Linked DNA regions of Oryzias latipes. The protein of the gene in region 1 binds, or shares a complex with, the protein of each later gene. Links are inferred from orthologs where the notes say so. Each region holds a gene or a part of one and is shown on either strand. Other genes may lie near its edges. The genes, in order: naa35, naa38 and naa30.

Evidence for each region.
Region 2: the proteins of naa35 (region 1) and naa38 are in contact, whole or in part, in a cryo-EM structure (PDB 7MX2), measured with the Homo sapiens proteins. The link is inferred for Oryzias latipes from reciprocal best matches to the Homo sapiens genes NAA35 and NAA38. Residues at the interface, in NP_001308810.1 of Homo sapiens: Val30, Asp31, Ile32, Thr33, Phe36, Ala39, Cys40, Leu43, Leu45, Glu47, Leu48, Leu49, His50, Asp51, Phe54, Glu58, Ala59, Ala62, Ile63, Glu64, Met65, Met66, Ala72, Gly73, Met74, Gln306, Arg307, Leu309, Pro310, Pro311; in NP_001307854.1 of Homo sapiens: Ala41, Arg42, Leu45, Glu46, Leu48, Leu49, Arg61, Phe67, Leu68, Cys69, Thr70, Asp71, Arg72, Cys74, Ile77, Arg97, Val98, Leu99, Gly100, Leu101, Ala102, Met103, Val104, Pro105, His108, Ser111, Ile112, Glu113, Val114.
Region 3: the proteins of naa35 (region 1) and naa30 are in contact, whole or in part, in a cryo-EM structure (PDB 7MX2), measured with the Homo sapiens proteins. The link is inferred for Oryzias latipes from reciprocal best matches to the Homo sapiens genes NAA35 and NAA30. Residues at the interface, in NP_001308810.1 of Homo sapiens: Leu45, Gly46, Leu48, Leu56, Ala59, Met60, Ala62, Glu64, Lys69, Glu121, Phe313, Pro314, Arg315, Ala444, Leu510, Glu511, Leu512, Glu517, Pro605, Lys606, Phe607, Glu608, Leu609, Asp610, Val614, Arg615, His618, Arg619; in NP_001011713.2 of Homo sapiens: Glu221, Pro238, Ser240, Tyr242, Thr243, Arg245, Tyr246, His249, Asn250, Lys304, Ile324, Glu334, Asn335, Leu336, Gly337, Val339, Arg340, Asp341, Lys342, Arg343, Phe345, Arg346, Tyr347, Tyr348, Leu349, Leu359, Trp360, Leu361, Arg362.

The regions. Positions count from the first base shown.
Region 1 is NC_019867.2:10,970,354-10,977,998, reverse strand, and holds part of naa35 (N-alpha-acetyltransferase 35, NatC auxiliary subunit), read right to left. Parts: intron 7,639-7,645; coding exon 7,572-7,638; intron 7,477-7,571; coding exon 7,433-7,476; intron 7,354-7,432; coding exon 7,303-7,353; intron 6,901-7,302; coding exon 6,817-6,900; intron 6,616-6,816; coding exon 6,501-6,615; intron 6,299-6,500; coding exon 6,120-6,298; intron 5,978-6,119; coding exon 5,918-5,977; intron 5,741-5,917; coding exon 5,634-5,740; intron 4,590-5,633; coding exon 4,523-4,589; intron 4,334-4,522; coding exon 4,235-4,333; intron 4,041-4,234; coding exon 3,862-4,040; intron 3,771-3,861; coding exon 3,634-3,770; intron 2,376-3,633; coding exon 2,308-2,375; intron 1,896-2,307; coding exon 1,755-1,895; intron 1,662-1,754; coding exon 1,539-1,661; intron 691-1,538; coding exon 610-690; intron 45-609; coding exon 1-44. UniProt on the Homo sapiens protein: Auxillary component of the N-terminal acetyltransferase C (NatC) complex which catalyzes acetylation of N-terminal methionine residues. N-terminal acetylation protects proteins from ubiquitination and degradation by the N-end rule pathway.
Region 2 is NC_019876.2:17,554,227-17,562,613, reverse strand, and holds naa38 (N-alpha-acetyltransferase 38, NatC auxiliary subunit), read right to left. Parts: upstream 4,790-8,387; 5' UTR 4,777-4,789; coding exon 4,672-4,776; intron 4,358-4,671; coding exon 4,183-4,357; intron 3,060-4,182; coding exon 2,935-3,059; 3' UTR 2,444-2,934; downstream 1-2,443. Other genes in the region: dnaJ homolog subfamily C member 3, read left to right, coding at 46-166, 241-373, 438-586, 859-1,004.
Region 3 is NC_019882.2:10,204,368-10,212,578, reverse strand, and holds the start of naa30 (N-alpha-acetyltransferase 30), read right to left. Parts: upstream 4,621-8,211; 5' UTR 4,294-4,620; coding exon 3,565-4,293; intron 1,707-3,564; coding exon 1,583-1,706; intron 282-1,582; coding exon 226-281; intron 1-225. UniProt on the Homo sapiens protein: Catalytic subunit of the N-terminal acetyltransferase C (NatC) complex. Catalyzes acetylation of the N-terminal methionine residues of peptides beginning with Met-Leu-Ala and Met-Leu-Gly.

The DNA.
Region 1 (7,645 bases):
ATAGGGAAGTACTTGTGAGCCGAGAAGTCAAACTCTGGAAGCACCTGGGTACAGAAAAATGCATAAAAGTAATCAGAGTACTGAACAAATGTGATTCAAGACCTCTCTATGTATTGACACTGGTTAGTCATATAGGAAATCATTTCATCTCAAGTGACCTAAAAGTTCCACTATCTCAGTGTGAGATGTGTTCTGTGTTTCACGGAGAGCTAAGCTGCAGTCTCAGTTTGACTATGGAACCATTTAGAATTTGATTCCTGGAGAATTTATAGGGTCTGATTAGGCTGCTGTTTATTTTTTCATTTTCTTTTCTTTATTTTTTTGGCAACTGTTAATTGCTGCAACTTAAAATGAATACACAAGAAAAAAAAGTCACATTGTTTTTTTAATTCACAAGAAAATTGCTCTTGGGTTCTCCAGGGTCAAAGCTCCAATCCAACCCTTAGTCGTCTTTGGCATGGCTTAACTGTAGATTTGAACCACGTATAGAAATCTCAGGGCAGACACTCTACTACTACGCCACTGAGACTTTTTTTTAACATGTTTTTTAAGCCAGGTGTGTAACACAACAAATAAAAAGCGTGCATTCACAGGTGACAGGTGTGTTACCTTTGTTTCTTTCTTGTGGCCTCCAGCCAGAAGTTTCATAACTACAATGTTGGGCTTGGCTACCTTCAGTATGCGGTTCACCTGAGTGGAAATGGTACAAAATGTTAGCTTATTTTTTATCACTGTCACTACATTTAGAAAGCAATGAAAACACAAAGATTAAAGGATATAATCATTTATATAATCATATATTTTATTATTTAACTTTCGTATTCTTAACTTTTGTATTCTTAACATTGTGCATTCTTAATGTAGTGGGTGTCTGTATTTATTTTTATTGATTGGGCTAAGTCTGGAATACATTTCATCCATTTATTAAATAAACAAAATGTTTTATTTAAGATCTAAGGGTGATTGGTTGTTCTAAATACAGTGGATCACAGTGGATCTCACTGCATTGCAGATCGTTTTACCAGTGCAACTTTGCATGCTTTTTTTTCCCCACAGTGCACTGCATTCTGCGTCCTGATTGGTTGTTGACCTTGTCAATCAATCTCCCTGTGCCCTGTCTCTGAATGTTTTCAGCTTGTCAAATTTACATAAATGTTTGTTTTCATTCTTTAAAACTGAACTCATTTTCTATGAAACTTAGAAAGTTTAAGCGAGGTAGAAAAGTGCATAAAGTGAGTAGTGAGGAGCTTTACAGCCTTAAAACATCTGTCAGGGGGGGATTTTTAGCTCCGTGTGATCAATAAGAGAACACTGTAGAGCCATTCTTATTTTGATTTAAACTATTTAGATGTCTGGTCTTTGCTATTTTGTTCCAAAAATCTGTCTATAAGAGAGATATTACTTGTTCAAGTTATCCTATCCAGTCCAATTAAGGCTCATAAGCTGAAGAACTCATCATTGACTGAACTACTCTTCAGCCCGGTGGGGTTCATATAGAAAAGGTTGGTGTTTTAACAGTGAATGTAATTCATCCTGACCTCGGGGTCCGGGCTCAGCACATTTTCTAGTATGAGTTTGGCCTGTTGAAAGTGTTTGCTAGCTGCCAGGTAGAGATCTGCAGAGCCTGGAGGAGGATTGTACTTCTTCAGATCAGACATCTCCTGGAGAAAGAAACAAGAGAAAACTGGAAGTTGGCATCAGGTTGCAAATATACAAAGAAGGAAAAAGAAAAGAATGGGCACAATGGGGGGTACCTTGAACTGGATGTAGTGCACAGGCGGGGGGGTGACCACACTGTTGAAGGGGGCAAAGCGATGCTCGTAGCGAACTTGTTCACTGTCCAGTTCAAACTGAGGCTTGTGTACCTTCCCATCCATGTCCAAAGCTACCATGGTCTTAGAGGAGAGAATGAGGTGGGGGACAGAAGTCACACTTTATGCCTGTTTAAAGTTCCAATCCAACAATCTATTGATCGATTGCTGATCAGTGATCACTGAATACTACAAAATCAAAAACCCTGTGTCGTTTTCTAGGTTGCAGCCCCCTCCCCATTCCCCTCCCTGTTGCTGACAATTTAGAGCAGGGAGCTTGAAGCCCACATAACGTATTTTCTACGCCACAAATAAGCTTTTTTCTCCGTCTTTCTTTTGTCTGCTCCTGATTCACAACGATTTGAATAAAAGAATATACAGAAATGCAATTTTCGGCTCAATTTTCCTCATATATGTCCTCTATCGTCAGAGAAATACCACAAGAACATGTTAAAAATATCAAAAACACCATTTTCAAGATCAGGTTCTTTCCTACCTTGTACATGCCTGCACACATATTCTGGTACGCCTGACTCATGGTGATCTCCTTACTGAGAGGCCGAACTGTAAAACAAACAAAATGGGAACTTATCCCGAGCTAAACATCATTTCTGTGTGTTCCTGGTGTCTATATTTCTTTAAAGCAGTGGTCCTCAACCTTTTTCAGGCCGCAGATCGGTTTAATGTCAGGCAGACGGGTCCAAAGTTGGAGTGTAAAATTTTTCAGCTTCTAGTAAAAACCTATTTTTCACGTTAAAATGCCACTACAAGCAATTTTGTTTAAAATAATCTGAAAGCATCAGTAGATTTTATTTTGCCGATGTCAGAATTTGGTGAAGGAAAAGTCTTTGTAGAGGTTATTTCTGATTCTTTAAAATTTAATAAAAACAACAGTTTTATCCCCCCATAGAATGTCATAACATTAAGAACTTAAGGTCCAGTCATATCAGGTCATATTTCAGAGCAAAAATATTTTTTTAAATCTTGTTTTTGCATAGATCCTGATTTTTAACATTTTAACAAGAACATTTTCTGTGCTAAAGTTTCTAAACAGCTGCTTGACTTATTCACCCTTAATCTCCCTTTTACAAGTTTCCTCAGAAACTTCAGAAACTCAGATCAGAAACATCTTCAGCAGGTCGGCAACATTATTTGATTGAATCTTTATTCTCTGTAAAACGTTTGTGGCTGGTTTAAACTTAGACTTTGTGATGAAGATGAAGACAGCAAAGTCGATGCTAACAACCGAATGCAAAGTTTAGCAGTGACTGACTTTTAAGATGTTATGGACAAATGAGGCAAAATAAAATAACACAATCCTCATAAAACTGGTATTTTCTTAGTATAATCCTAAAGGTGAATCCACAGTGTCTGCATCTTTATTATCTGCACATGTGAAACATTTGAGAATCAGTCGCCGCCCATGAAGTACAGCAGCTTCTGGTACGTGGGAACAACTGTCTCATTAAATCCGTATTTGGAGAAAAACTCCTGGTTTTGTCTGTAAATAGCTTTGATTTTTCTTTGAAGTTGAAGATCCTTATTTGGTTTCCTCACTGGGTCTTTTCTCCAAAGAAACTTTCCAAATACGTTTTTATTGTTCATTTTCCATTAGCTTTGGGCTACTAACTTAGCAGTCTGCTAAAAGTCCCATGATGCATCAAGATAGTCAGATGTGATGAACAGAATCTGGTCGTTTTCCAAAAATAAAACTTCCTTCAGTATCAGAAAATAAACAAACTGAAATAATCGAAGTTACATCCTGGTACTCAGTGGCCTACAGACCGGTACCGGGACCACTGCTTTAGAGAATTTGGCACACCTTTCTTCTTCTTTTTGCTCTTTTTACTGCTGCGCCCTTTCAGCTGCTCCTCCAGGATTCGCTCCTCTGCCATCTGAGAAGAATCTGCTCTGCTCAGAGTGGACATTAGCCATGCGTACAGAAACTCTGAAAGGTACCTACAAGTGCAAAATGAGAGCAGATATAACATGGGCAGAGTTGGTGCTCTCTTTGTGCCAGAAGCAGTTTTTTTAGACCCATGGCCCTTACCAGTAGATGTAATAATACTCATGCATGCTGTAAAGCTCCAGTTCAAAGCCACTCAGCAGATACTGGATCATGATCCTTAAGTTATGATAGAGGATCCAAGTACCAAGACAGGCTAGGTGTTGTCGCTGAGGCTCGAGTTTCATTAGTAAGCTGTGCAATGCGGCGTCCACCTTCTCAGCCTGCAAGCAAAAACCAACTTCAGTGCAAAAAAATGATAGATATGAGAGACGGTACAACACAGGAATGTGGAGTGGTGCATAGGACAAATTTGCTCTTTGTTTTTCCACCTATTTGAGATTCAAACTGCATTTAAGCAATAAAAAAAGGGAAACTGTGTGGGGGTCGTGGATCAAAGGAAGCAGCTGAGGCTCACTTCATCCTGCAGCGTGGCAAACTCCTCGAGTATGTGCCCCAGCTTGTCTCTCTGCCGAGCTCGGTTGTGTCCATGGATCTGAATAAGGCTGCAGAAAGGCTGCTCGGACAAAGACAAATAAACATGCCATTACAGTTTGACTTTCAAAGATCTGGAAGTATTCTGTATACTTTTCTGTTCAAATGCACAAAACACCAAGAAATGAACAACTCTGATTTAAATGTCCGCACCGGAGAAGCATTTGAAGTCAAAACGCTGAACAAAAACACAAGACAAAGGGTAACGTACCCTAGAACAGTGTGTGACAAAGGAGTCGATGTAGTCCTTGGCCTGGTGGTTGTTGAACAAACAACATCTGCAGATGAAACACAGAATCAAGAAGCATTTAAAAAGATGTACTAAAACCAAAACTTACAGCTGTGAGCAACCAAAACATGGACGGATTCGGCTGAGGCACAGCTAAACCCGGCCTCTGAGCGGCACATGACAGGTGTGTCACCCAGCCTCATTATCACAACCCATAATAGCACAGTGGGTTTAAGCTGGCCTGCTGGCTCACCAGCCCACTGTGGGGCAGTGACATTATCACTAAAGCTGTGCGTGTTGCTGTTGTCTTACAAGTCTCTTTGTGTTCTGCCATGTTTCACATGTTTGCGGTGCTGCGTGCAGTGATCTAATGTTTATTTGGGCTCCACAGTCATTGCATGCAGTAGGAGCTTCACTGTTAAACTGCTCCAACATGGAAACCCTCGTCTTTGCACCTGGAATAGCTCTGTGGATATTCAATACATCAATCTAAATATTCCAGTCGGCTCAGTAGGAAAAACAATATTATCTTACTTGGCTACGGTTGTTGTATTTCTCTGACAATTAGTCTGCCTGTGTCTATTTTGAGCAAGGTTAAAGAGATCACATTCTGTGGGTGTAAGAAGGTTACTGAGAAAAAGGCCGATTAAAATTGTGTTTTTGGTGTTTTTAACATGCTCTTGAGGCATCATTTTGATGATGGAGGACATGTGTAAAATAATTCAAGCTTAAATCTGCATTTCTGAGTATTTCTTTGCTTAAATTGTTGTGAATCAGGAGCAGATGAAAGAAAAAAAAGCTAATTTGTGACATATGGGTCTGCCTGCTCTGAGCTCTCACCAACGGGGAGAGGAAGGGGGGGTGGGGCTTGCTCCACACCAACGTCCCGCGCACAACTCATAGGCTAATTTTTTAATGAACTACTGCTGCTCTGCAGAAACTATGTCCTAGAAAACAAAACAGGGTTTTTGATTTTGGCTAAAAACGGCAAAACCATAATCAAAAGACCTGTGGAAACTCTTTGACAATAGCTCAAAAGATGATACCTGATCAAATCAATGGTCAATAACAAAAATAACATCAAGGAACTTACTTGTTTGATAGGACAGGAGGGCTGACAAAGTATCTTAGAGCATCTTTAATCATGTCCTGCATGAGGTGGGTTCCAAACACTTTCTTGTTGTCGATGAGAAACGTCGTCTGAATTTGTTTAAGAGAAGACGGGGAAAAAGAACTGTTATGGCAAGCATTTTCAGATGGTTGAAGGGATGTATTTCCCCTTGAATACATCATCATAAAGCTGGATCACTTTCTCAAAACAAATCATATATGTGAATAAATTGCATTTATGGGAGTCAAATCCAAACGGTAGTCTACCTGGAGAAGGGACCGGGAGAGCACACAGGGGGACTGCTCACTGAATTCACAGAAGAAGTCCTGGTAAACACAGAGACTCTAGTCAGCGTGAGCAAACCTTTGCCACCAAATTGTATTTAGACACAACGTAAGAAAACACACAAATGTAAAAGAAGAAATGAACATATTCCTTCTTTAGGGTTACTGAAAGTTATGCATTCACCAGTATTCCGTGCAGGTTTGTGGTGTTGATAACGTCACACACAGTCTTAATACGCTCGATGAGTTTGCTGAAGTAGGCCACCATGTCTTCCCTCTTTATGATTTTGGCGTAGCGTGGAAAGGTGGGCGGCAGCAGCCGCTGGTTGACTAAGGGCTCAAAGCCCATCATGATAGGGTGGTCTGTAGAAGAGGACGGACAAAAAAACACAAGAATGAGCCAAAATAAAGCTAACGTTAATTTAAAAAAAAAAAAAAGTAAAGTTTTCAGAATAAAATTAAACCTCCCAAGTATTTATTTTCATTAAAAAATGGTGCAGGGAAGAAAATGTATGATGCTATTCTGACTTGGTTCAGTGTTTTAGTAGATCAGTGTGTTTTTTACCGCCTTTGGTGGTGTCGTTTTGGGACTGGATGCCATGTTGAATACTGGAATGAATGGAGGACAGCAGGTCAGCAGCCTGAGTCACAAGCTTCTGAGCCTCGTTTACTGAGCTGGTCTGATGAGGACGACAACAAAAAGGAAAAAAAAAACAAAAAACTAAAGTGTGTGTGTGTTAGGCATTGATAAACAATAACCTATACATTAAGGTGGAAAATATACAAGCTGTTGCATTTAAAAAAAATATTAAATTAGAGAAACAACTTATAGCTGGATTCAATTCTAAAATAGAAAAAACTCTTTCCTAACTGAACATTACCTCTTTTTTAGTGAAGGCGATCAGAGCCGACAGTAGGAGGCGTGTAAACTTGATTCGGTTGAATAGAGCCAGACAGTGCTGGTGCTGCACACGGAAAAACATTGGAGAGCTATTATTACGGGGCATGTTTCAAAGCTCCACAAGGAAGGAGGAGTTTTATTTTTGGTTTGACCACCCAGAGAAGTCTATTTCGGGGTCTACATTTTTTTCCTCTTAATACCATCAGGACTGCTGGAATTTCCCAGAGCAGAATCACTAAAGGTCATCGGAATCCCACACTCTGACAGGAACCACGGTAAACAAAACACAGCAGAGACCACGCTACATTTGGTATGGACTTCAGGGCAAGACTTTTGGAAAACAATAAACTAATCTGTGTAAAATAAACATGTTTCAGGTTTATCAAATATTATTCCAACTTTTAATATCTGACAAGAAAATCTACATCTGAAACATTCCACACACTTGGATAGGTAATCAACTCACCTCCAGCTCAACCTCTGGATTTCTCTGCTCACCCTGCCGACTGCGAGTGCTCTGCAGCAGCAGGAGATGTACAGGAAACATGAAGTACTGGAATACACATACAGCAAGAATTTGCAGTAGTAGCACATACCTTAACTTTCCTCTGTAACTCATCCTCCACATCTCTCAGCATACCTGTTAAAACATGTCACATAAGACAATGAGAGGGGATGATAAAAGCACTTTATATTCTCCCTCATCGACCGTTTCATTTTTAACAGGACTTGTACCTGTCACACGCAAGTCTGTCACATTATTGGCCATTTTGAAACCATACGTCATTGCTTGGAAATCCTCCTGAAGA
Region 2 (8,387 bases), on another chromosome or scaffold:
CTGCATTCCTGTGGATTTCAGAGCCATATTTTCATGTTTTTCCAGTTGAACCTGGTCAGCGAGGCCATCGACGTGTGTTCAGAGGCTCATCAGAGGGACCCCCGCAACGCCAAAATCCTGCGGGACCGAGCAGAAGCCTACATCCTCAACCAGGACTATGAGAAGGGTAATTCAGCAGAAAAAACAAAAGAGTCCCATCTCTGCACCATCACTCAGACGATCACTTCTGTTTCTCTGAAGCCGTGGAGGATTACCAGGAGGCGCGAGAGTTCGACGGCGACAGCAACGACATCAAAGAGGGTCTGGAGCGAGCGCAGAAGCTGCTGAAAGTCTCTCAGAAGAGGGACTACTACAAGATCCTCGGAGTCAGCAGGTAAGCCCCACGGCGGCACCTCCAGGAGGGAAAAACTCTCCCTGACATCCCCGTCTGTCCTCAGGAGCGCCAACAAGCAGGAGGTCATCAAAGCGTACAGGAAGCTGGCTCAGCAGTGGCACCCCGACAACTTCCAGTCTGAGGCGGAGAAGAAGGAGGCGGAGAAGAAGTTCATCGACATCGCGTCGGCCAAAGAGGTCCTCACCGACCCCGGTCAGCAGTCATTCACACTCTTCTGTTTCCTTTCAATCGTCCGGACTAAAGCGAAACTGGAGTTTAGCTCGACTGAAAAGAACCAGAAACAGGATGAAGGTTTAGAATTTGCCAACAAAAGTATTTGTCTTTGAAGTCAAAATAAAAGCTAGACTAATGGTGTTGAGGGCCTTTGACTGAGCCTGTCACTCGACATTTTTCACGTGTTTGATTACAAGTTTTCGGTGTTATGAATACAATGTTTTCTTGTTCCTCCTTTCATCCGATTCCAGAAATGAGACAGAAGTTCGACTCGGGCGAGGATCCTCTGGACCCGGAGAACCAGCAGGGCGGAGGCGGCGGTCAGAGGCCGTGGCCTTTCCACTTCAACCCCTTTGATTCTGGAGGCAGCTTCCACTTCAAGTTTGAGTACAACTAGACCCCAGGAGGTTTGTGGATTGGGGACGGACTCCTCAGGACGTCTTCATCTACGTTGGTGCAGTTTCAAAACTTCTGACTTTTCTTCTTCTTCAATCTGGACCTTCCTCTGAATCCAGAGGAAGACTCTAGGAAACCTAAAGGTGGTGGTTACAGGAAACTGAAGCACTTTGTGCCATTTTTGAATCGTCTACAGGCAGGTTTGCCTCTTAGGATTCTTTTTTTCTCAAATGTGACATTTTGGAGTCTCCTCTTTCTATTTAAAGACTTTGAGGAGCTTCCAAAGAAACGATGAGGTTCAAACGTGAAACTTCTGAAGGTTGAAATCCTGTGGATGGAACTCTGTCGTTGCAGTTTTCTGCTTTAAACTGCAGCTCATTGGCCTTTCAAAAAAAAGATGATCAAAATAAAAAAAAGCTGCAAATATATTTAGGTTCAAAGGCTTTAATCTCCAAACGTCCACAAATGGAGAGAAGTTGGAGCTTTTTAAAAGTCCTTCAGAGAACCTGAAGACTCTTTGGTTGCCATCCCAGAAACTGCTTTATAATTAGAACAAGTCAGATGTTCTGCAGAGCCGGAGCTCGAGTTTCTGCGGCGTCTGTATTTCACAAAGACGCGGAGAATGTTTATGCGAAGGCGGAAAACTTAAGGCGGAAGTTTGAGGAAAGAAAACGTGACGGCTGTAGGTGCTGCCATGAAAAACCATGTTACGCCCCATCTCCATTTTATTTCTGTTTGCACAACTTTAAGTTATTTTTACCAGGTTAAGAAATGGAACTGGTTCTACGGCTTACTGTGTGGACTTTAATGTGACCGTATTTAAAGATGAAGTCTCATTTGTTGACGGCATCGATTTACTGTTGCCAAACTGAACCTGCTGACATGTTTTGAGTGTAATAAAACATGTAAATGATTCGTTTGCACTCCTTTTACCTCATTCGTTTGTTTTTCTTTCTTGTTTAGTCCCTTTTTAAATAAAGTTAATTAAAAAAAAAGAGGAAAAACTTAATGCATGCATGTGCATCTTTATATCTTTAGAAGTCCCTTGAGACAAACGGGAAGAAATTCAACTTCCGGGTTGAAGCAGGTTAAAAAAACCAAAGTAATTAGAAAAAGGTGAAGTTCACTAAGGAAACTAAAAGAAGTTCAGGTTTAAGGCATAAATTCAAAACAAAAATATTTAGTCTTGCTCAAAAAACATCTCTTCTTTGCTGGTTACAATATCCATAATGTACTCAAACTTTTACTTTGAAATACTAATTTTACATATGAACTTAAAAATCGTGAACGATTTTTTGACCAATTCAAAACGTACTTTTATTTTGAAAAGATTAGGGTTTGGTGATGTCAGTTTTGCAACGGACATCGCTGCCTTCGCTTTTAAAGTAATCCAATAAATTTGGTCCACTTCCCAAAACGTTTGTTTGACTTGATACAATATACATAACTGTAAAGTTTTATTTTCATTTTATTCATAAACATAAAGATTGCAAAGGTTAGTCTTCTGACTGAAAACTAAAAAGCCTGTTTGTCCTGCCTATATACTTTTATTTTGAAAAAAAGACTAGTTCTGTGATGTCACACGTCAGCCAAAATGGCAGCAATAAACGAAGACATTGCTGGCTTCACTTTTGAAAGAATTTCTAAAATAAAATGTGATCATAATCAGTTTAAAATCCTAAATATGGTCCACATTTCTCATACGGTTCTGCAGGAATCCAAAGCTTCAAACAGAACTTTTATTTTAAAACCACTCCGGCAGAGACGTTTAATCTCAGTCTGTCTCCACTCCTGCAGCCGGCAGAACCTTCCTGTCAGTCTTTGAGGGAACGGCTGAATCCAAACGTTCTGTGATCCACCAACACCAGCGGTCCAACTGTCCAGCAGCAAAGCATGATGGGTGTTGAAGTCTGCAAATGTCCCAGGCTTCCTCAGCAGATGGCTCCAAATCCGTGAGCGTCCTCTAGACTGTCGGCCTCCACCTCGATGGACACCACGTGGTGGCCGGGGATCATGGCCAGGCCCAGCACTCTGGGTTCACCCTGAGAGAACGTGTCTGAGGAAAGAGGACATGGTAGCATCAATGCTCCTTTTCAGGGGGGAAAACCGCCTTAAACCTCAGCCTCTAGAACTACGAGTCCGAGTTTTAAAGGTAGAAAGAAAAAAAAAAAACATTTCGCGACTCAGGAATGTTCCACTAAAACGTTTCTCCTGGTACAGTGGCTAAAGGTGGTCTAAATCTGACTGTATATGAGAACTGGACTGAGTGACCCCTCCCTCCTCACGTTCCAAACAGGAAGTAGCCGCTGGCTCCAAGAAGCTGAACTTCAACTTCCCATAAACTTCAACTGAGAAATAAACAGCCATTACTCAGTCTGAACTACCATTCTTGCTCTGCTACCTTTTTTTAAACATGTTCTTATTAATCTTTTTCTCTGTAGCGCAAATTATTTAAGTTATAAACTGACCAATCAGGTGCCTCAATAAAAGCATGTGGTCTTAAAACAAATGTTCAAAATGTTTGGCAGATGTGTAGCCTGCTTTCACGTGGATGGGGTGTGGTCTTCCAACAAGCTCACTCCTGTTTGGTTAGAGTGGTTGCCATTGGTTCGGACAAATCACCGTTCACTGACCTCGTATGGCTCCAACATGGCGGCGTTTCGCAAATAAAATGGCGCCAGTCCATTTTGTTGGACCTGGAGGTAAGGCGCTTTCTATGGATGACATCACACTCACTCAGTCCAGGTCCTAAATACAGTCAATGGTTTTATGACCTTTTCAAGACTTTTTAAATATGTTGGTTTGTGTTTTTGAAACTTTTTTTAGTGGAAGAACCATGTAACGTTGTTGAACATCTTGTGAAAACACCAGGGATGAGGATTTCATCTCCAAATGACACCACAACAACATAGAAAAGCCACAAACAAGAGTAGTAATAACTAGTTAAGTCTATGAAGACTCTCATTCATCCGGGTTGATTCCATCGTTCTGTTCGGGAACTGACTAAGCTTTTTGGATAAGAGGTGAAACGTCTTCAACTTTAAAAACCAACCAGATGGCAACCTTTCAACCTACTACTATGATGAATAACCAGTTAATATAAAATGTAACCCGATGTTCTGTGTGGAGGAGAACCGGCCAGCTATAACGTCTTCTCTGGTTCCCTCTTGTTTTGTTACCTGGAGATTTGAGGAACTCCTGAGCAGAGCCGAGGATGACGTTGCAGTCGCGGTCCGTGCAGAGGAAGAGCCCCACCAAAGTCCGTCCGTCCGTCATGCGGATCCTCATGTTCTTGTTCAGGAGCCCCTCCAGCTTCTGTCTGGCCTGAGACGAAGGCGGAACCTCGGTCTGCCCCTGGAGGTACACACACAAATGACTAAGAACTGCTGCCAACATTATCACAAAATATCTTAAAACGATGAACACGATTAATAATTGTAGAAGAATTGCAATTATCATATTTTATTCAAAGTAGCTAGTTTGTTTATAATCATGGCTGTGCAGGGCACGTTTTTAGAATGCTATTTTGTTAGCTTCAGGCTAACGTCTTACTTAAAGTATCGATAATCACTTTCTAATCTATCATTTGTTTTCTTCCTTTTTTTAAAAAAAATAGTGTAATGAAAAAAATGTAAATATCGTTACACAAAAACATGACAAATACATACTCGAGTCGAAGGACCGTTTTCCTCGATTATTGTTGCCATAACCTTTTCTTGTTTCTTGCGGAACAAATTTACCGACGGACCAGCTGGACCGGAAGTAGGTCGCATTTGACATTTTTTCCCCCTCCAGAAACGTTATTATAAATGCCAGGTACCGTACAAAAATATAAATATACAACAGACATTAATCCAAACATATAAACAAGGAATAAAAATAATATAAAGTGCCAGAGGTAGAAATGAATATGTAAAATTACATGGGTATGTAAAACTAGATTTAACAAAACTTTACAGATTTAGCATTTTTAAAAAGTTTATGTTGGGATATTTTCAAGCTTTTTGGCTTTTTGTTTTAAACTACTTGATTTTACAAATAAACAGACCTGAAACAAAAATAAAGAAAAGTTTGGGATTTGGTCAGAAAAATTACATTTATGACTAGATTCACTAGTTGCTTTATGGGACGCTGGAGGGAACAATGGAAGACATAAAAAAATGAAAAGATTAGTTGATTGATTGATTGATTGACTGATTGATTGAACATTTCTATGGGGCTAAATTAGGATCAGCTTAAAATGAATAAAAAACCAGATTGTGAATTGGAAGAAAACTGACGTTGTAAATTGAATAACTGGACAACAGTTTTAAACTCAAAGTACACATTGTAAACCTGTAAGAAGTATTGAACATTGTAAAACTAAATTGTAAATTTTAAACGTTAAAAAAAAACAGTTTTTTCGATAACAGCTGTTTATGTTTCTCTTTCCTCACTACGGAGCCTGTGAGCTAACATGGGTAAATAATAATAATTACTTGCCTCAAAAAAATAAAATTCAGATATACATTTATCCTGTTGTATTTGAAAGCAACCTCACTTACAGTGACACGTTGATTGGTCGAGATGCGTTATGGGATATGTGTGATGCATGATGGGATAAGTAGCATGAAGCCTTCGGGTGTAAAGTAACTGCTAACTGTTACTAAAAGACAAGTTACCTCAGCACGTCATGGATATTATTATTCCTGTTCGACCCTAAAATGCAACGCCACATACCGCAGCAACGCTTCGCCTGCTGGCCAGCCAGCTGCCCGAAAGTCGGCGTGCCGACAAGCTCGGCCCTCCTAAATCTTACAATGTTTCTCTTATTTTCAACAGTGATAAATGGATCCCCTAGTTTGATTCTTGTTTTTAATTTTCCCCTCTTGAATTAATGCAGGTCACAGAGACAAAGATGTAGCGGCGGAAAGCTGCTTTTGCGGCAGTCGGGAGAGCGTACCGGGATGTGTATGAACGGGATTATTGATGCTTTTGTGGAGCTTTTTTAAATAAATAAATTGGATCTCTAAACATCCTCTGTGTCTTCTATGCTTTGTATTGAGATATATACAGTCAGAAATGTGAAGGTATCTGCTGTAAATCCAAGTATTGCTCACATCCATGTTTATGAGTGACTTACCACATGAATTTACCCATGTCAGATCACGGGCTCCGTGTCTCGCTCTCAGTCCTCCGTCTACAATTTTAATTCAGACTTTCACAGTTTTCACTGCTGAGCCTAACTTTATGTGACAGGGGAGCTTTGTGCCCATTGGCCACCAAGGTCGGAATCCTGGCTAGGGGGGGGGGGGTCGGGTCGGGTTATGGTGGCTCAAAACAATTACCTGGTAGTTATGACAAAACAACGGTTAGGACAAATTAGGTCTTTGTCCATTAAGAACATTAAGAAATCTTTTTATAAATATATTGAAAGTGTGAAATAAAACGCAGAGTGACCTTTACACTGTAGAAAGAAAACTTATTTGATTTGAGTTTTTGTTATGTTAACCAAAAAATTGAATTTAAAAAAGCATCTAATTTGGATTAAAAAAATAAGGCACAACCTAATCTGAAAAACTCCCATGCGACTTTTGGAAAAAAAAAAAGTCTAAATAAATAAATAAAACATACACTTTGGTTTTTCAACTATGAAGCACAGAGGTGGAGGTTCTTACCGTGTGTTTCAGGCTCATGATCTAGATGTTTGCCATTTAACTCATGGACTGATGAAAAAAATGACCAAATTGGCTTCTGTTCCACAACACTTAAATAAAAAAGTGTCTGTGGAGAAATCTGTTTTTCACCATAAAGGATCTAAAAACTACTTTTCCAAAATAGCCGAGGGATTTTACAAATCATTTTTAACTTTGTGAAAAAATTCCTCTGTGTCTGGTTAAACTTACAGGTCAGTAGGAACTGCTCAGAGATGCTGAACAGTGGTTTTACTGCCATATTAAAGCAGTGAGTTGGAAGCATCTTCCTCTTCTAGAGCATTCTGAAGGTGATTTAAAGGTCGTCCATCAAGCTAATACTTTACTAAAATCAGTCTAAACTTCCAGCTTAACGTGAGCCAAAAGACACAAATCTTTATTTAGGCTAAAATAAGAACTTCCAAACTGATTGATGTCTTCTGCTTCACTGTTGTGGTTGACTGTAGTTTCACTTCATCAGTCTCTGTCAGTGTGCAGCACCTCCGGTCCACCCTTTTTCACATCAGATGTCTTCTTTTCATGGAGACGTTTGTGGTTTTGGTTGTGTGCAGCCCGTCAAAGACCAGCGGCGTCTGAATGGGTCTGTGGGCTGAACCTGATTAGAACATTGTGGAACTAACTAATTCGCTTAAGATCAACTCAGAGTGCAAGCTTTCTTAGCAAAGCATACCCAAACCATCATCCTTCCACCACCGTGCTTTACACGATGGTTTCCCTCTGTCTGCACCGGAAATGAACAGAACAAGAGTCTTTATTGCAACCCTCAAAAATTGTATTTTAGTATTTGAAACTTGATGGATGGATGGATGGATGGATGGATGGATGAATAGATAGATGGAGGCAGAAAATAAATACCACTAAAATAAACAATAAAAAACACAAGGAAGTGTCCGGTGTCACATACATCTTTATACTTAGTACAACATGCGACATGTAGTGAATTGTATTGGACAACTGACCAACAAGAACCTAAGTATAAAAATGGAAAACAATCTGAAAATAATTAAAAATAATACTAGATTGTAGAAACAGCAGTTACAAGGTGTAAAAGAGTCAATCTACTGTTAAGAGTATGAACGTGTATAAAGTGAGTACACTCAAAGCAAATGATCTGTAAAAAAAACATGAATTTGTCCTTGTGTAGCATTGAGAATGTACAATGTAGTCCAACCATCCATCCACAATTCCCCACCAACCAACCATCCATCTATCCATCCAACCAACCAACCAACCATCCATCCATCCAACCAACCATCCATCCATCAAACCAACCATCCATCCAACCAAACATGCACCCATCCACCCAACCATCCATCTATCCAGCCATCCATCAATCCATTCATCCATCTAACCAACCAACCAACCAACCATCCATCCATCCATCCATCCATCCATCCATCCATCCATCCATCCATCCATCTATCCAACCAACCATCCATCCATCCATCCATCCATCTATCCATCCAACCAACCATCCATCTATCAACCAACCAACCAACCAACCATCCATCCATTCATCCATCTAACCAACCAACCAACCAACCATCCATCCATCCAACCAACCATCCATCCATCCATCCATCCATCCATCCATCCATCCATCCATCCAACCAACCAACCATCCATCCATCCAACCAACCATCCATCCATCCATCCATCCATCCATCCATCCATCCATTCATCCATCTAAC
Region 3 (8,211 bases), on another chromosome or scaffold:
TGAGGAACTGCAGCATTTTGGTACAGCTGGTGGAGGCATGATTTGAACTAAAAACCAGCAAAGGTAGGCACACACTTGAGGTAAACCCCTTCAGGCACTGCTGTGTCTTTGTGAGATTTGATGCTTTCTAAAAATTCAACATTTTCTCTCCTCTGTTCTGGAGAAAGGATTTAACTGTTCAGTCGAGCTTGAAAGATTAAGGGGACTCTTTTCAGAGTCTGTTACCTCATCACAGTCTCCCTCCACCATGGCATATATGGCCTTTTTCACCAGATTAGTACCTGGAAAAAGACACAGAGTCAGGAAACCTTGACAGAATAATCTATTTCAATGACTGATGCTGCGGCTCGTTCCAGTCTAAACAAAAAAAGTCAGCTTGTGTCTCCTGATGACGAAGAGTCGGTCAACACAAAATGCATTTTAGACATTAAGTCATGGATGGCAGAAAACTTCCTGCAGGTTAACCAGGACAAAACAGAGGTTTTAGTGATCGGTTCTGAAGACAAGAGAGAGATTGTTTTATCTAAACTAAAGACTTACAAAACTTTTCAGTGTGTGAGAAACCTGGGTGTTATTTTTGACTCAGAGATGAACTCAAGATTGATTTTGAAGTTCTTTTATTGGTTTATAAATGTTTTTATGGTCTCGGGCCTTCATATTTATCTAAAGTATGAGCCCTCACGGACCCCGAGGTCCTCTGATACCGGCCTTTTGGTTATCCCAAAAGTTAAACTAAAACATACGGCGAGGCCTCATTCAGTTTTTATGGACCTCGCCTGTGGAACAGCCTCCCAGAGAGCCTCAGGGCCGCAGAGACTGTTAATGTTTTTAAAAGGAGGGCTTAAGACTTACCTTTTTACTCTAGCTTTTAGTTGAATTTTATGAATTTATTTGATATTTTCATTATTTATTTTCTCCTTTTACTAGTTTTATATGTGTATGTATAAACATTTATTTATTTATTTGTATTTATTTATTTTTAATTTTTTTGTCACACTTACCATTTTATGTGTCTATTTAGGTGTTATGTAATTATTTGTTTCTTGTTCATCTTTTAAATATATCTTCATTTGATTCCTTTTATATTTTAGTGTTTTCCTCAGCGATCCTCCACATCAGTGACTGACCTTCTCAGTGAACGGGGTCGCTGCAGTGGGATCTCCCGGGTCTGACTCTTTCGATCGGATCTGGGGGGTTCTGCGGTAGTGGACTCCATGAACTTGGGTGGGGGGGTCACTGATGTGGACATGTCCCCAAAATATCGTTTCCCCATTTCAGGACAAAGCCAGGTCTCTACATTGCATCATTTTATCACTCTTTTTATCATGGTGTGTGTGTGTGTATGTCTGTGTGAGTGTGTGTGTGTGTGGGTGTGTCTGCGTGTGTGTGTGTGTGTGTGTGTGGGGGGGGGTTGGTTGGCATTGTTTGTCTTGTCATTTTGTTTTTAAAGTTTGATTATATTCTATGCAAAGCACTTTGAGTGACATGTGTTGAAAAAGTGCTATATTAATAAAGGTTGATTTGATTTGATAGTTTTTAAATAAAGCTCCTCTTGAAAGTCTGCCACAAAGGCAGAGCTTACCGATGCTTTTCCTTCTGTGCTTGGAGTCCACAGCCAGCATGGCGATGTAGCCGCGGCGAAACATCTTCTTATGCATGTCCAGTTTACAAACGATGGCTCCCACACACTCCTGCTCCACCATGGCCTGAGGACACACAAACATGCTGCCTTCAGGTCCTTCTAGCCCTGCGTGAAGGTTGAAGATCGGTCCGCTGCTAGCTAGCAGCACTTCTACAAAAAGTAGAGGCTGAAGTCTGCTATAACCCTTGTGCTATCCTAGGCACTTTACCATTGGGAGTTGGGTCATCTAGACCCACTAGACAGTGCTCTGAACCTTTTTTCTTCAATGATTTGTGATCCTCACTGGTGTCCAGAGATTACATGAAATCTTTCCACCTTTATCATGGTAGGGAGAACATGTCAATGTAAGGGTGGGGTCATCTAAGATAGCACAAGGGTCAAAGGTGAGGGATGCTTTGTAAAGTACACACATTCATATCTAAGAAAAACAAAACAAAAAAGATATTTTTTAGCTTTTTAACACTGGGGAAAGTCGCCGGCAACACCTGAATAACACACACTCTCTGACATAACGTTAACTCCTCAACCATTTACTCCATCAGTGCGACTCAGCCGCAGAAAAAAGGGGCTTTGTACAGACATGCAATACTTTACGACAGTAAACGTAATGTTTTGGCGCAGAGCTACTTTTCTCTGCCACAGAATCCACTGGAATGACGTTAATTGCAAAACCAGCTGAAGAGTTGCATGGAAAGACCGTCAACACTGGAGCTAGCGAGGGTTAAATAAAGCTGGAGGAAAATGCTGGGATCCACACACACACATCCCACTGCCTGTATATGAGAGCTGGACCGTCACTAGGGCTGCACGACACGAGGAAAACCCGCCATGTCCGATATTAGTGATCATCATTGCAAAGACTATATCACTTGCGATACATGAAAAGCTAAATAACTGATGCATCATTTCCAATTTGCTGTAACATTTTGTTTGAATCAAACTCACCATAACTTCAATTATTCTCCAAATGACCCACATAGGAAAGCGGCTTGTAGGTAACCATTTATGTCGTCTTTTGTTATAGGCGCATTGAGCTTACTGATGACTGAGACTGACCTGTTTATTTCTCTATAGAAGTCTATGAGATTTTGGCTTCTTGGAGTCAGCCGGAACTTCCTGTTTGGAACACCGGGGGGGGGGGGGGGGGGGGGGGGGGGGGGGTCACTCAGTCCAGTTCTTATATACAGACAATGGTTTGTACATCATTTCTATTGACTTCAATCCTATATGACTGTTGTTAGAAGACACTTTGATCCTGAATTTAAGACAACAAAAACCAACAAAGTTATTTGTTAAAAGGGACAAAACAAAGACAACCTCTGAGTCCTTTTAACACCATACCATATGAATAAAAACCTTTGAATGTTGTCAAAATGTGTTTACATTTAGATCAAGTTCATTTGAAAAACTTTATTTAAAACGCATCATACAACAGCAGAGATCTTTTCTGCTGCTTTTAAAACGGTGTGGAAAGAAAGCAACAACAAAAAATGGCCAAAAATGATCAATACCATATTTGATCAATTTTTAATGTTTAATAACAGTTGACAATAGTTTTACAGTTATCCCAGAAAGGGCATTAGTCAAAGAAAAAGTCTAGATCCCCTGTTTATCACTCACTGTGACTATTGTCTAGATGTATTTTTGCTTTTGTAACATTTTGAAGTGAAAGAGTTGTAGTAAATTAAGAGTTTTAGGGAGAACTCTAGCTGGTTGCTATAGTTTCATCAAATTAGGTAACTACCATTGTCAGATTATAGGCGTTTGTGCTGGGCACGTGACCATTTCAATCATCTGGAGCAAACAGATCATAACCAGACTTTCCAGGTGAGTGTTTGTAGTGGTCATGTGACCTGTGGCACGTGGGCAGCAGGCTGGTTTGGAGGTGTTTTTGGGTGGAGGGGGATCGGAGTTGGACTCACCAGAAAGCAGAGCTGCGGCCAGTTGTGGATGAAGTACCTGTAGGTGTAAATGGAGTAAGGCTCGGACAAGTCCTTCGTGATCAGTCTCATGATCCACGGCATCTGCAGCTCCGATTCGTAGCGCACGTAGCGGATGCCGTGGCTGTCCGGCCCGGGAGAGCCACTCAGGTCAAGCCGGGCTAGCTCGGCGGCGGGCGGATCCGAGGAGCTCTCCTCTCCGCCGGGCCCGGCAGCGTCCGGGGACTCGTGGCCTGGCGGTCTGGAGGGCTGCTTGTGTTTGTCGGCTCCGCGGGCCGCCTCGGACCTCGAGAAGTCCGGCATGCCGTTAAGGTGAGCGCCGTTCTCGGACACGGGGCCTTCGCGCTCCGCCGGCGCTCCATCGCCGCTGTCAGTGTCAGCGGGAGACCTCAGACTCTCGGGCCGGACGTCGGGCTCCTCGGAGGGGCTGACCACGCCGTTCAGCTGCTGCTCTCCGCTCTGAGGCTTGAGGTGCAGCACCGCCGGGCTAGTTTGAGTTAGCATACCTTTCTGCTTCCTCTTTACCGAGCGTTTAACGTCGTTCAACGGATGAGACTCGTCCCTCGTGCCGGCAGACACGCAGTCATTCGCGAGGCAGGGCGGCTGTCCGTCTTCCACCACCGGCTGCGCGCTTCTGTCCCCGGAGAAGGGATGACTGTCAGCCGGGGACGCAAGCAGAGCTTCACTAGGCCCGGGCGGCACTGTGGCCATCCCACTGCGTTAGAGCGGAGATCCACGCGGTGGACACGGGCTCATCAACGAAACCGAGCGGAACACCGGCAGTCGATTCGAAGTTCGGAGATTTTTTCCCGAATCCTCGGAGTCTGGAGCCAAAAGGTCCTCCGGTGAACACCACGGCTCTCTGCTGTCTGCTGCTCTACCTGCTGCCGTAAAGTGCCTGTCGCACCCAAAGGACGTTTTGCGACAGTGAGCTGCCATGACAGTTGTAGTTTTAGGAACAAGTGAAAATGTAGGTTAGAAATTGTGTAAAACACTAGTATATGCACAAAATTACAACCCATCAAGCACAAATAAAATATTTTGCTGACAAAAAATAAATAAACAATGAAACTAAAATAAATGGGGGGAAATATTTGACCTAAACCGCGTGCAACAACTCTACTATTCAGTTTCTATTTAACAATTTCATGCATTTCAAGACCTATTTAGTTTGGTGTCAAAAATGCAACACAACGACCGAGAAACAAGAGAAAAAAAGGTATTGAATCAGCACAAACCCATGAACACGCAGCAATACCCAGTTTGAGAACCCAAACAAAATCTAAGCTTTGTAAATTCATCCTTTTACCTGTAACAGTATTAGAAAATGATTCCTGCAGGAACTGTTTTACTTCTATGGTAAGCCCAACCTGACTTCCCATAATCCCTTTGTTTACACTCTCTCCTGCTAGCTCACAGCCCCTTACAACCCCAAGCTAACATTACCATTGAAAAAAAGATGGCGAGCAATATAAGAGCTTTCCAGCCGTACAGTTTTGAGCCAGATACCAGGTTGGACGAGGAAAACAAAGAAAACGGGGTACGTCACAGCTACAGGCTTTTTTTTAACGATTTTTTTGATTCATCACAATTTGAATAAAGAAATACTCAGAAAAGTAGTTTTAATCTTAATTTCCTGTTTATTTGTCCTCTATCATCAGAAAAAATGCCACAAGAACATGTTAAACAAACCAAAAAAACACGCGTTTCATTGCAGCAAGTCTTTAAAGGAAGATTAAATGATCCATGATAAAAACACAAAATTTAATATAAATCAGAGTGCAGTGTTTTAAATGGAAGTGGAAATCTATCAAAATATATAGTTTTTGGTTGCAGAAGGGTCAATAAACAAGACAGCAGTGGATGCAGTTTGTTTTTCCAGATAGAGTTTTTAATTATTTGCGGTGAGGTTTGAAGTGGGAGGTTTGGCTATGTTTTATTACTCAAAAGAGACTTGAGCTTATCATCTAGCCACCTTCCAAACCCACTTAACCCTCTAACATCAAAGCTTTTGCTCCAATGTTGATGTTTTTTCGACTACCGTTACTGTCCGACCTATTACCCAAATAACATAATTCCAGTGGATCCTGTCGGGAGAAAAGCGCGGTTATGCAACATTAAAGTAGGGTACACCCGGGATGGTCCGTCGGCTCATTGCAGACCCCAGAGCTTATTGTGGGTGGCATAACGCCCCAAACTATTTGTGCTACCTAATAGTTACCGGAGAGAAAGAAGAAAAATAATCAGCTTCCCACACATACATGGGAGTTTTGCAGAAATGGCTCCTGGGGGATAAGGTGGAGATCATAAGAACAGCTATCTATCAAAACAAAAATAATTGGATTGATGTCAGTAATACAACTTTAAAAGCAACGTTAGCTTACATCCAGTAATTTATCTTAAGCCTGTCTGAGATGAACCAACCTAATGTTGGCAACACAATGGAGCACAGGACCAGTCATGCAGCTAATGTGTTTCTTTGAACAACCTAAAACCTGTTTCCTTCTGCTGTTGATATTTTGGCCTAAAGGCCTGTTCACACCGGGACGAATTTCGCCGGCGATTTTCGCCGACGTTTAACGCCTCGTGACTAAACAAAGGGCACCAACGAGAGTGTGCACACCGACGCGAAAAAACGCCAGGCGTTAAAGCGTCAAAAAAAAAAAAACGCCTCGGGTTCGTTTTTTTTTTTTCGACGCGTCGCGTCGAAATCTACTCGACCAATGAGAACGGCGCTTTTGCTCACGTGTCTGGAGCTTCTGAAGTTACAGTAAAACACAACTTGGGGGCGCTCAAACACAAAACTGCCTTGCTGAGCACACATACCAGCGAAGAAGATAGACGCCAAGTAGCGTCTACACTGCCGCGAAGAAATAATGACGGACATTCTAAAATATCCCCGAACCAAGCACCAGTTGGAGCTACTGGTGCTTGAAATATTCATGTTTTCTTTGTTTGATTCTGACAAGCGTGTAAATACTTGCTCTCTTCTTCTGAGTGAAAAGCGACTTTCAGAAGCGTAAAGTTGCGCAGCGCCACCTTGTGTACAGGAGTATTTCTGTTTTACATTAAGCGCCATCTAATGTCAGGGAATGAAATTGCATGTTCACTCCACTCATCGTCAGCGAAAATCGCCTGGGTGTGAACACAAAAAACGTGGCGAAAAACGCTGGCGAATAACGCCTGGCGAATATTCGTCCCGGTGTGTACGGGCCTTAACAGTCAGACACAAGGAACTGTAGCCAGGCCAAACCCAGTCTGACTAATCACAGCCTGAATACTCCCACAGCAGACAATTAGCATCTTGCTTTCATGTGTAAAATGAGTGAGGCAAGAGGAGGGAGGAGTCTGTGTGAAGGAAACAGGCAGAGAAGAAAAGCCCAATTAAGAATTTGGGTGAGAAATGAACCATCTGCTGCTGAGTGATACGAGTTCTCCAGGAGAAATTAGCTCGGACTCGTAAGATAATGATTTTGGACAATCATCCTACTTTTTGTTTTAATAAAATGCCCGGATGCCTGTCCGTCAGTCCATAGAAAGACCAGATGCAGTTTGGGGCCTGTTGCGTTGTGTACTTGACTGTGTGTGCATGTGGCTTACCAAGGCTTTGAAAGCAATCAAAGCTGCTGCACACCATTTTTAAAGAGTCAGTATGATAAAATGTAAGGAAATATGGCTCCAGTAGGAAGCTTTCATTAGAGCTCAGGAAACTGATCAGAGCAGTGGATGCAGTTTATTTGTCCTAAGCAGTCTGCAGTGGCAGGAAGCCCATTTGTAGACCATCTAACCTTTAGCAGGAACTTGTTAGGGACTTTATTTCTGTCCATGACTGACAGGAATCCATGCGCAGAAAAATGACAGCAGTCATCATACGGGTCCATATCTGATTGTCAATCCTGTAATAAGAAGTCAAATGTTCCCACTTCAGGTAAACACAAAAATCTCTCTTTCCTTTCCATATTTGGGTGGAAAAAGACTAAGCAGATCCCAAACATGACATTAAAGGGAAACTTCAAATCATTTATTACAAACTGGCAAAGCTCAGGAGAAACCCCATTATTAGGAGTAAATCTGAAACATAACCTATTTCGAGTGTAGAATCTATTACTTTTTTCCTTTAAACCTCGTGAAAAATTGAGAATTTTTAAATGTAAATTTAGACTAAGTTTGACCATCTCAAATTAAAAAGGTACATTTCTGCCAAAGATTTTATTTTAAATCAATATTCTACCCATTAATCAACGCTGAGTCTAGACTTACTACCTCAGAATTATAAGCACAATTTGAACAAAGCTGAGGAATGAGATTTGTAAACCATAATTGGATTTTTTTTTAAGGGTTTCACGAGTTCTGGGTGTTATTGTATAAAACTGCATTTCCTGTGAGTCAATTATCTGTCCTAATGTCTGGTTCCAGAAACTAGTTTTTAAAAATCACATTTTCACTTAATATTGTGATTAATTTGACTTAAAGTACATTTTTCAGTTCATTTTTAAGATCTTTTTAGCAGCTGAACTTGAGGTTTTGAAACAGGAAACAGAAAAGTTTTCTTTTATATACCATGTTTTATAACAATAAGGATACAAATGAAAAAAAAAAATCTATCGAAGAGGGGGGAAAAAAAGGCCC